Arabidopsis thaliana: one gene and its partner. The protein of the gene in region 1 purifies or fractionates together with the protein of each later gene. This does not show direct contact. Each region holds a gene or a part of one and is shown in the gene's direction. Other genes may lie near its edges.

What was found.
Region 2: the proteins of GLDP1 (region 1) and PDE345 fractionate together in Arabidopsis thaliana (co-fractionation; one large-scale study listed by BioGRID). This does not show direct contact.

What each region holds. Positions count from the first base shown.
Region 1 is NC_003075.7:15,926,001-15,933,378, reverse strand, and holds GLDP1 (glycine decarboxylase P-protein 1), read left to right. Parts: upstream 1-1,956; 5' UTR 1,957-2,228; coding exon 2,229-3,443; intron 3,444-3,562; coding exon 3,563-3,808; intron 3,809-3,896; coding exon 3,897-3,974; intron 3,975-4,060; coding exon 4,061-4,161; intron 4,162-4,251; coding exon 4,252-4,447; intron 4,448-4,527; coding exon 4,528-4,653; intron 4,654-4,751; coding exon 4,752-5,051; intron 5,052-5,131; coding exon 5,132-5,284; intron 5,285-5,375; coding exon 5,376-5,564; intron 5,565-5,650; coding exon 5,651-5,728; intron 5,729-5,809; coding exon 5,810-5,935; intron 5,936-6,022; coding exon 6,023-6,121; intron 6,122-6,218; coding exon 6,219-6,336; intron 6,337-6,438; coding exon 6,439-6,527; 3' UTR 6,528-6,727; downstream 6,728-7,378. Other genes in the region: ZIP9 (ZIP metal ion transporter family), read left to right, coding at 321-776; CBL10 (calcineurin B-like protein 10), read right to left, coding at 6,981-7,035, 7,126-7,238, 7,339-7,378. UniProt on the Arabidopsis thaliana protein: The glycine decarboxylase (GDC) or glycine cleavage system catalyzes the degradation of glycine.
Region 2 is NC_003071.7:94,116-98,592, reverse strand, and holds PDE345 (Aldolase superfamily protein), read left to right. Parts: upstream 1-1,729; 5' UTR 1,730-2,101; coding exon 2,102-2,257; intron 2,258-2,369; coding exon 2,370-2,639; intron 2,640-2,734; coding exon 2,735-2,844; intron 2,845-2,947; coding exon 2,948-3,587; 3' UTR 3,588-3,866; downstream 3,867-4,477. Other genes in the region: AT2G01130 (DEA(D/H)-box RNA helicase family protein), read left to right, coding at 3,958-4,098, 4,246-4,406. UniProt on the Arabidopsis thaliana protein: Plays a key role in glycolysis and gluconeogenesis.

The sequences.
Region 1 (7,378 bases):
GTTTAAGTAATTATTTAATGTTATCTTCGTAACTATTATATATAGTACTACTTCATGTTCATTCTACCAAAACATTATTAATATGAAAACGAAAAAATAAGATAATTCTAAAATATCATACTATTATTTAAGTTTTCTTCCAAAGATACAAATGACGACTTAAACGCATTGTGGAAACATTTTTTTTTTTTGGTGTGTGTGTGTGTGTTAATATATTTTGACGTTATGTGACTTAGTCAAACCAATCCGTTTATATAATTTCCTTGTATAGTGTCGATGCACAAAATCAATTGATGATACCCTTATATTTTTGTATTCAGATACTTGAAATGGGAATAGTGTCACATTCAATAATCATAGGAATATCGCTTGGAGTATCACATAGCCCATGCACCATACGTCCTCTCCTTCTCGCTCTTTCCTTCCACCAATTCTTCGAAGGTTTTGCCCTCGGTGGCTGCGTCGCAGAGGCCAGACTAACCCCGCGTGGATCTGCCATGATGGCTTTCTTCTTCGCCATCACTACTCCGATCGGTGTAGCGGTGGGAACGGCCATTGCCTCATCTTACAACTCTTATAGCGTTGCAGCATTGGTGGCTGAAGGAGTGCTCGATTCTCTCTCTGCGGGGATACTTGTGTACATGGCGCTTGTGGATTTGATCGCTGCGGATTTCTTGAGCAAGAAGATGAGTGTTGATTTCAGAGTTCAAGTTGTTTCTTATTGCTTTTTGTTTCTTGGAGCTGGGATGATGTCTGCTCTTGCAATTTGGGCTTGATCACTTTTCATTATTACTATTTGTTTATGAAAGTAATAAATTTAGGCATGCCTTTTTCTTTTTTCTTTTGGACAGAATTATTATAGGTATGCCTATCACTCTATTTGTTTCAAAATAATGTTTGTAATCAATTCTATTAGATATTCACTCTTTATCAATCATGTTATATATTTTTGTAGCTGGTAAACAAATAATTAATTTTTGAACAAAAAACAAAAACAAATACAATTAGTTTTTACAAGCAAGTATGCAACTGAAATCCAAAGATTTTCTTGACGCCTTTTCGAGCATATTCTAATCCTTCATTTTGATTTAGCTCAAGAAACGCCATAATAGAACCATATATATGAACTAAGTGTTTTTAAAAAGAGTAGGTCATGACTCATGAGTAATCTTTTCCACGATCTTTAAGATATATTATTCTTGGAAGGTCGAAAACTATAATATTTCATTTTCTGTCGAATATATATATATATGGATGACGATGGTTCCCATGCATGATGAAGAAAAAGACGAACCCTATATTTATCTGTTTAATTAAAATTTTCTTTGTGGAGATAAACTCTCTGTGAAACGCATTCCGCCACCTAATTTATCATATATTTTCATGTGAACCAAAATAATTAAAATTTGTTTGCCATATATATATTTATTTGTTGTTATCTTTCTGAGTGATAAAGGTGACAAACATTTTTGTCCACTGATACCCAATCTCTTCCACTTCAGTTCCCTTCCTTTCAAATTTTATCTCGTGCTTTTACAGCATATCCCACAATTCCTGTAAATTATCTCAAGGATTTGGTGCATAAATTCTATTTTTTCGTACTTTTTTGTTGGATATGTAAATCAGAACCAAAAAAACTTAACATTGATTAAACTTTACAATTTACGTATGTCCCATTAGAGGGGAACTACAGTTTTTGTAGGAAAATAAGAAATTTGCGAACTAAAGACACTAAATAATCCTACTTTTAAAATCACAATAGTTAGTACTCAATAAAAAATATTGTATATTGTTGTGAAAAAATGTAAATAGTTTGGAGAAACTGCTACTAATAAACAAATAATTAAGAGATGTCGGAGATCCAATTTAATCATAAAAATAAAATGATTAGCACAATATTGCACTACTGATTTAGATGCGATACACGTGGAATCTGCAACTTTTCACCAACCACATCCGAGCCTACACCACGAAATTTGAGGATTTTTATTTATTTCCCAAAAATTTCTCTGTATTTATAAACTAACTATTTCTTGGGACGTGAATATACACATTTTATATTCAACGGTCCGTGAGTGTATATTGTATATACTCTCTCTCAGATTCCCTCCTTGTAGCTAGCTTCTACCTCCTCCTTTCATTCATGGCGAAAAACTAAAAAAGACATCCATCTTTCTCAAAACATCTCTCTTACTCTCTTCGTTTTCTGACTGCAACCTTTTTTCCCAATGGAGCGCGCAAGGAGACTTGCTTACAGAGGAATCGTCAAACGTCTCGTTAACGACACAAAACGACACCGTAACGCTGAAACACCTCACCTTGTTCCTCACGCTCCGGCGAGGTATGTCTCTTCCCTTTCCCCTTTCATCTCCACCCCTCGATCTGTCAACCACACGGCGGCTTTCGGGAGGCACCAGCAGACGCGTTCCATCTCCGTCGATGCTGTTAAACCCAGCGATACTTTCCCTCGTCGTCACAACTCTGCAACACCAGACGAACAAACCCACATGGCTAAATTCTGTGGCTTTGACCATATCGATTCACTCATCGATGCTACGGTGCCCAAATCGATTCGATTAGATTCCATGAAGTTCTCCAAATTCGACGCTGGTTTAACCGAGAGCCAAATGATTCAACACATGGTTGATTTAGCTTCCAAGAACAAGGTTTTCAAATCCTTCATCGGGATGGGTTACTACAACACTCATGTCCCTACTGTCATTCTCCGTAACATCATGGAGAATCCAGCTTGGTACACTCAATACACTCCTTATCAAGCTGAGATCTCTCAAGGTCGTCTCGAATCGCTCCTCAATTTCCAGACCGTGATCACAGATCTCACGGGTCTTCCTATGTCCAATGCGTCGCTTCTGGATGAAGGCACTGCTGCTGCGGAGGCAATGGCCATGTGTAACAACATTCTTAAGGGTAAAAAGAAGACCTTTGTCATTGCTAGTAACTGTCACCCTCAGACTATTGATGTTTGTAAGACTAGAGCTGATGGGTTTGATTTGAAAGTTGTCACCTCTGATCTTAAGGATATAGATTACAGCTCTGGTGATGTTTGTGGGGTTCTTGTTCAGTATCCTGGTACTGAAGGTGAAGTCTTGGATTATGCTGAGTTTGTTAAGAATGCTCATGCTAATGGTGTTAAGGTTGTGATGGCTACGGATTTGCTGGCTTTGACTGTGTTGAAACCTCCTGGAGAATTTGGGGCGGATATTGTTGTTGGCTCTGCTCAAAGGTTTGGTGTTCCGATGGGTTATGGTGGTCCTCATGCTGCGTTCTTGGCTACTTCACAAGAGTATAAGAGAATGATGCCTGGGAGGATTATTGGTATTAGTGTTGATTCTTCAGGAAAGCAAGCTCTGCGTATGGCTATGCAGACTAGAGAACAGCATATTAGGAGGGACAAAGCCACTAGCAACATCTGTACTGCTCAAGTAATTACTTCTTAGTATCTGATTACTCATTTTTCACTTTTCACTATTAGTTCGTTCAGATAACTAGATGATATGTTGATTCATGTTGATGAGTACTTCATCTTTTCATTTTCCTGCAGGCGTTGCTTGCCAACATGGCTGCCATGTATGCTGTTTACCATGGACCTGCAGGTCTAAAATCTATTGCCCAGCGTGTCCATGGTCTCGCTGGTATATTTTCCTTAGGGTTGAACAAGCTTGGGGTTGCAGAAGTTCAAGAACTTCCTTTCTTTGACACTGTTAAAATTAAGTGTTCGGATGCACATGCAATTGCTGATGCAGCTTCCAAAAGTGAAATTAATCTGCGTGTTGTGGACTCAACCACTGTGAGTCTCCTTTGCTTTGGCCTTTCAAGGTTTTTACTCTCATAGCATCATACAGATTTGAATATTTGGATATGATTACTTAATTCAGATTACTGCTTCCTTTGACGAAACAACCACCTTGGATGATGTCGATAAACTTTTCAAAGTTTTTGCTTCTGGCAAGCCTGTGAGTGTTGTTCATACCTCTTTTTGTTATTGATATATCATTTCTAGGATCCTTGCATGAAATTTGACTATCTCAATTCGCTTCAGGTTCCATTTACGGCTGAATCTCTAGCACCCGAGGTTCAGAATTCCATTCCTTCTAGCCTAACAAGAGAGAGTCCTTATCTTACCCACCCAATCTTCAACATGTATTATTCTGTTCTTTGAATCTTGAGTGGCTTATTACTTGTGGATTGGCAGTATCTCATTTTTGTTTTCCATTTTGATAATATGATTAGGTACCACACAGAGCATGAGTTGCTTAGGTACATCCACAAGTTACAGTCAAAGGATCTATCACTGTGCCACAGCATGATTCCGTTGGGATCTTGTACGATGAAACTAAATGCAACAACTGAAATGATGCCAGTCACATGGCCAAGTTTCACTGACATTCACCCTTTTGCTCCTGTTGAACAAGCACAAGGTTATCAGGTTAGTGACTTTCTTGATTCATCTGAGGTCTGATTTAGAAAGTTGAACAATGAACTGATATCTTGTCCACATGTATGTAGGAAATGTTCGAAAATTTGGGTGACCTCTTGTGTACGATCACTGGGTTTGACTCTTTCTCGTTGCAACCTAATGCTGGTGCTGCTGGTGAGTATGCCGGGCTTATGGTTATCCGCGCATATCACATGGTAACATCTTTTATCCTAAATTTGGATCTTATTCTACCTAACAATCTTCTATTCAATTGTATTAAGCTGAAAAGTGAATGAATGAATGCATTTTTCAGTCAAGAGGAGATCATCACCGTAATGTGTGTATCATACCTGTCTCTGCACACGGTACAAACCCTGCAAGTGCTGCTATGTGCGGGATGAAAATTATTACAGTTGGAACTGATGCTAAGGGAAACATTAACATTGAGGAGGTGAGAAAAGCTGCAGAAGCCAACAAAGACAACTTAGCTGCTCTTATGGTTACATACCCTTCAACTCATGGAGTCTATGAAGAGGGCATCGACGAGATTTGCAACATAATACACGAAAATGGAGGTCAAGTGTACATGGATGGTGCCAACATGAATGCACAGGTGAAATATCTTACTAAAACAGAACACAGAGATCTTGAATTTTCTCTAATTTGTAAGAGCATGGTGTTGGGTACGTGTAGGTTGGTTTGACGAGCCCTGGTTTTATTGGAGCGGATGTGTGCCATCTCAATCTCCACAAGACCTTCTGTATTCCTCATGGAGGTGGTGGTCCTGGTATGGGTCCCATTGGTGTGAAGAATCATTTGGCACCATTTCTTCCTTCTCACCCCGTGGTTAGTCTTTTATCCTTCATCACTTTTATGTTTCTTGGTGATTGATGATTAATTCCTTAATTTTTTGTTTCTTCCATTTCCATGTATACAGATACCGACTGGTGGTATCCCACAACCCGAGAAGACAGCACCTTTGGGTGCAATATCCGCTGCACCATGGGGATCTGCGCTTATCTTGCCTATATCTTATACTTACATTGCCATGATGGGATCTGGTGGGCTCACTGATGCCTCTAAGATTGCAATTTTGAATGCCAATTACATGGCAAAGCGCCTAGAGGTAGTAGAACATCTTTGTCTTCTATTTACCTATTCATCTTTTGAGAATGAAAGGAGTCTAATTTTCCTCTTGATTTGTTTTTACAGAAACACTACCCAGTTCTTTTCCGTGGTGTTAACGGAACAGTAGCACACGAATTCATCATAGACTTGAGAGGCTTCAAGGTATGAAAATGTTGTGAACTGAAATTAAAGTAGTTGTTTTGGGTATGCATATCACTGACCGATTCAAATATGAATTTGTAGAACACTGCTGGAATAGAACCAGAGGATGTGGCGAAACGGCTAATGGACTATGGATTCCATGGACCCACAATGTCTTGGCCTGTCCCTGGAACTCTTATGATTGAGCCAACCGAGAGTGAAAGCAAGGTAAATATGGATATATGCAGATCTCTCATTGACTCTTTCTTCTCTCAGTGTATCAACTTGATGAAACTAAATAATATTCGTTTGCAGGCGGAGCTAGACAGGTTCTGCGATGCTCTCATTTCAATCAGGGAAGAAATTGCACAGATTGAAAAAGGAAATGCAGATGTCCAGAACAACGTTCTCAAGGTAATTAGGAAAACAAAGACTTATCATAATTATATCCAATAATAATATTGTTCGGAGAAGTTGAGATTCATACGTTGGTGGTTGTTTGTTTTCTCAGGGAGCTCCACATCCCCCATCGTTGCTAATGGCAGACACATGGAAAAAGCCGTATTCTCGAGAGTATGCTGCTTTCCCTGCGCCTTGGCTCCGCTCCTCCAAGTTCTGGCCCACCACAGGTATTAGACCATCCAAGATATAGATTGCACATTTGGTTTTCGATTCAGTTTATTCTGGTTTCGGAATTCTGATATGTGACAAATGATTGAAATGTGGAACAGGGCGTGTGGACAATGTATATGGAGACAGGAAACTGGTGTGCACTCTCCTCCCAGAGGAAGAACAAGTCGCAGCTGCAGTGTCTGCTTGATTACTGCTCTGTCCCATTGTGTTGTGTCCCTTTCTCTCACCACGCACTCTTCTCTTTCACATTCTGTCCATAGTGTTCTCATTATACGCTTTCTGTCTCTTACTCTATTATTTCATTCGAATACATCTTCTATAAATTATATATTCCACAATTGACCGAAAACAAAACACAAACTTTGGTAGAATCAAGACTTAAATCAACTATACTGCCATAGACGCAAGATGAAAAGAAAAATGCTTCATTACTTTCAATGGAACAATTACAGTAAAGTCATCAAAACAAAGCAAAGTGCTTGACAATTTTACTTACAGCTAATAATCATCAACTACGTTGGCTTAAAATAAAATAAGGAAAACCTTCTTTCCTCGTTCTGCTCTTGCGCTATGACAATCTCACTCGAATTACAGGACCAAGCAGAAAAAAGATGACCGGTGTTGCATGGACAGTTGTGCCTCAGTCTTCAACCTCAGTGTTGAATATAAAACTTGGGAATGCTGTCGTCACATCCCTTCAAATTCAAATACAGATATGGTTGATGATAAAGTAAAGGAAATCCTAAATGGAAGGGCTAATCTAAAAAAGAGAGAGGATTTGGTACTTTAGGTAAGGAAGAGTCATATTCTTCAACAAGCTAGGATGTTTATGCACATAGACATTCCATTCATCCTTACTAATTTTACCGTCTTTGTCAGAATCTGCATCAGCAAATGTCTAGCAAAAACAAAGTAGAGAAAGAAAAGAAGCATGTGCTAACTAAATTTACCAAAATATTATACATCACACTAAGAGAGATGGGATTTCAAGAACTCACTTTATCAATAATCATGGTCAGAAGTTCATCGGATAGCATC
Region 2 (4,477 bases), on another chromosome or scaffold:
CCGAATCCTACATCTTTTTATAACCGTTGAAATCTTTCAAGATCTACCGAAAGCAAGGAATTAGAGAATACTCTTCTCTGAAAAGGTAAAAGCTTAATTTTATTAATCAATTAACTGAATACAATTTTAAGTTCAAAAGTCTTAATTATAATAAATCCAAAATTTTAGAAAATTCATAAAACAATAAATAAAAATTATCTAAATAATTAAATAAAAATATGAGGAAATAATAAAGACAATTTGAAATTATCCAAATATATACTGCATTAGGTAGCATGCGGCTTGCAAGACTATAGTATTTGTTTTAGAAACTATAGGTCTATTAGCTAGACAGAATTAAGAGCTATAGAAAAGTTGTTAAAATTGATAATGCGATGCTTTTTCACATAACTCAAGAAAACCAAATCAAGTTCCGATCCATCATTGTTTGTCGACCAAGGGATGATCAGTCGATAGGTCCACGTACGTTGTTGTTTAAATGAAAATAGTTAACATGGATGTAAATTTAATAAGTAAACAATGAAAATGACAAATGAAGTAGAGAAGATGGAGAAAACAGGACCAAGGGCTTGTAAAAGAATTGCCAAATAAACAACAACGTGGTCCTATCACCTTCTGCTTCTCCCTACGCACCAACCAGTCAACCATACTCAATAGGTTTCATTACAAGACAAATAACACACTCTCTTTTGTCTTTTCTCTTTTTTCGAATGGGAAACACTGACTAGCTTTGTTTGTATATTTAAATCGTTTCTAACAGAGAGAGCGTGGCGAAGTGTGAACACAAACACCTAGAAAGATCTGAGAGTCAATTCTTCTGGGTGACATATGCATGTGAACTGTATGAAGACGCGTTTTGGGGTTTATCGTTTAAAAATCATTAGATATGTGACTGACCAAAGTGTTAATCAAAGATCTGCACCAACACCTTTTACATATACTATATTCTAATACGTAGAGGCAGCGTAGAACACTCTAGAAGAAGTACTAGGTGAATTATGATCGATATGCCATTCATCTGAGAGCAGAGAATGGAACTTTACGCATGTTTAATTAAAACAACTTTCAAACTTGTCTTAAAATATGAAAATTACTAGTTCCTACTCTGATTAAGATAAGATTGGCATTATATTCATATTCTTGTACCTAATATATAATTGAAGCACTTGAACATATTTAGTCATATAGTCTTGAATTTTGTTGTTGTTTTTCCCTTTTTTTGTGGGGTCAAACTGAGTTGCTGTAAATTTGAACATACATATGAATATGCATTTAAATTGTGGCCAACAGTTTTAGAAAACTGTTATCAAATCAAAGATACTTTAAAAATACAAAAAAGTAGTGTAAGATACAAGAAAGAAAAAGTTGCCACTTTCTCATGTCGCATATATATAACGTTTCTCGGAACTTGCATTTTCTCTCTTCTTGTTTACACCTTCCTCGCCTGTTACGAGTAACACCAATATTTGGACTTATTGGATGGTTGCCTTAATAAAAAGGAAAAAAAAAAAGAAAAAGACCCAAGAACACCAAAGCTGTCGTGGGCTCTTATTGTTTATCTGAAACTAAGCCCTATTACTATTGGGCCCAAAAATCAATTACGTAAAAGAGTTTGCCTGTTATATAAGTTGTTTACTATTGTGGCCCAACAGATAAAAAAGGGAATATCCGGCCCATTCTCTTTCATCACACTCCTTGAAGAGGTGATAGGTCATGTAATTTGATTAATTAAGAAAAACGATTGAGTTAGACGAAGAGGCAATGGTAGGAGAAGGATAGTTTGGGTAGACGAAACGGTAGAGTTTTGGTTATTCTCAGATTCTTGTTGTTGAGAGACTGATGAACTACTAGAAAAAATTACCAGTATCTCCCTCAAGGTTAAAAGCGTCATTTACGGTAAATTGGGGAATAAAATGGTAAAGAGAAGGAGGCTTTTTGGTGGTGGGAGTAGGTGATGCCAAAGTAGACGACTACTAATAGTAGTAAACAAAACCTTTGGCTTTAACACTCTCCTCCAAATCCCAGATCTCTCTCTGTCTCTGTCCCGCGGAGTCCCCGAGAGATTGATCACCATCACTTTTGTACCTTCCTTGTACTACCTATGGCGTCTGCTAGCTTCGTTAAGCCTAACACCCTCTCTTCTCCATGGATCGGCCAACGCTCCTTTGCTCACACCTCTGCTTCTTCTTCTCCTCCTCCTCGAGTCTCCTTCGCGATCCGCGCCGGTGCTTACTCCGACGAGCTTGTTAAAACCGCCGTGAGTATCCTCCTTATCCTCTCTCTCTCTTTGATGCTTTATTAGTTTGGATTCGTTTCCGTAATTCTCAAAGTCAAACGTAGAGTGAGATTCTCTGATTATTGCGTAATAGAAAAGCATTGCATCCCCTGGGAGAGGTATCTTGGCGATCGATGAGTCCAATGCAACCTGTGGGAAGAGGCTTGCTTCTATCGGCTTGGATAACACCGAGGACAACCGTCAGGCCTACAGGCAACTTCTGCTTACCACTCCTGGCCTCGGCGATTACATCTCTGGTTCCATTCTCTTCGAGGAGACTCTTTACCAGTCCACCAAGGACGGTAAGACCTTTGTCGATTGCTTGCGCGATGCCAACATCGTCCCTGGCATCAAAGTTGACAAGGTATTTTTTATCCATTTATTCTGTCATCATCATCATAAGTAGTTGAGTTTTTATGTGTGTTGAGTGAAGTGTTGACAATGCAATCCACCGCGTAGGGCTTGTCTCCCCTAGCCGGTTCCAACGAAGAGTCTTGGTGCCAAGGCTTGGATGGATTGGCCTCACGCTCTGCTGAGTACTACAAGCAAGGCGCTCGTTTTGCCAAGTGGTATGTCATATATTTCACCATGTTATCTTACATATGGTATTAACTCTTTGGTTTGATGTGAAAATGCTCTTCCTAGTTTTGATGTTTGTGTGTGTTTGTCTAGGAGGACAGTGGTGAGTGTTCCCTGCGGTCCTTCAGCACTGGCTGTGAAGGAAGCTGCGTGGGGGCTGGCTCGCTATGCAGCCATCTCTCAGGATAATGGTCTTGTCCCCATTGTGGAGCCAGAGATCCTTCTGGACGGGGACCACCCAATAGAGAGGACTCTGGAGGTGGCAGAGAAAGTGTGGTCAGAGGTGTTCTTCTACTTGGCACAGAACAACGTCATGTTTGAGGGCATTCTGTTGAAGCCGAGCATGGTCACCCCAGGCGCTGAGCACAAGAACAAGGCCTCTCCCGAGACCGTTGCAGATTTCACGCTCACCATGCTGAAAAGGAGGGTTCCTCCGGCTGTCCCAGGGATCATGTTTCTGTCAGGAGGACAATCAGAGGCAGAGGCCACACTGAACCTGAACGCCATGAACCAGAGCCCAAACCCATGGCATGTGTCCTTCTCATACGCACGTGCCCTGCAGAACTCCGTGCTCAGAACATGGCAAGGCAAGCCGGAGAAGATTGAGGCCTCGCAGAAGGCACTGTTGGTGAGGGCAAAGGCCAACTCACTGGCCCAGCTCGGCAAATACTCAGCCGAGGGAGAGAACGAGGATGCCAAGAAAGGAATGTTTGTCAAGGGTTACACCTACTGATTTGTTAATTTCAGAGATCGTAATAAGGATTAAGGACCATTGTTGTCTTTTGTTTTTTTTTCCCTTTTTTGTTTTGTCTCTGAGAAAGAAAGACAGTCACGAGTCACGATCATATCATATATGTATGTGAGCAACGTGAAAACATCCTCTTAAATCTATATTTCCTCTCAGAAAGACTGATTACTGTTTGACTGCAAAACCAAATTGTGTAATTCTTCTTTTAAGTTTACAAAATTTTTGGAGGGCGATTAGGTAAAATTGGCATAGTTGCAAGTTCAGTGTTAGAAGAAGCAGCGGAGATCTCTCTCCCTCTTTATAGTTTACTTTTGACTTACAGTAGAGAGAGTTTAGAGTTTTGAATTTGGCTCCGATGACGAATCGTCTTCCTCCTTCGCTGTACGTTCCGCCTCACCAGCGCCTTGGTTCCGATTACGGCTTCAATCCTGTTCCTCTCTCTCCAGTTCGCTATGTCTCCGCTTATGATGACCGCGTTTCCGAGGATCGCCAACCGGTTAACTTCTTCTTCATCTTTTTTTCATGCATCTCTGAGCTTTTTGATTGATGCTCTTACAATGGCGATTCTAGTTTTCGATTTGCTCTCGAGTAGCATTTTATAAAAATCCCTTTATCTTTCTACTGGAACCATATCAATTTGCAGCAGGAGGGTACCTTTCACTGTGCCGACTTGGATGATTGGAATAAGAGATTTTCAATGCTTTTGAAAGATTCTTTAAAGCAAGAAGTTATTTCCAGGGAGAAAAAAGATAGACGGGATTTTGATAAACTTGCTGCTCTGGCTACAACCCTGGGATTGTATAGGTACATCAATCATGCTGCTCCTTTCTTTCTTCTTTCTCACTAGTACAACCATTTCTGTTTCTTTTTTGCAG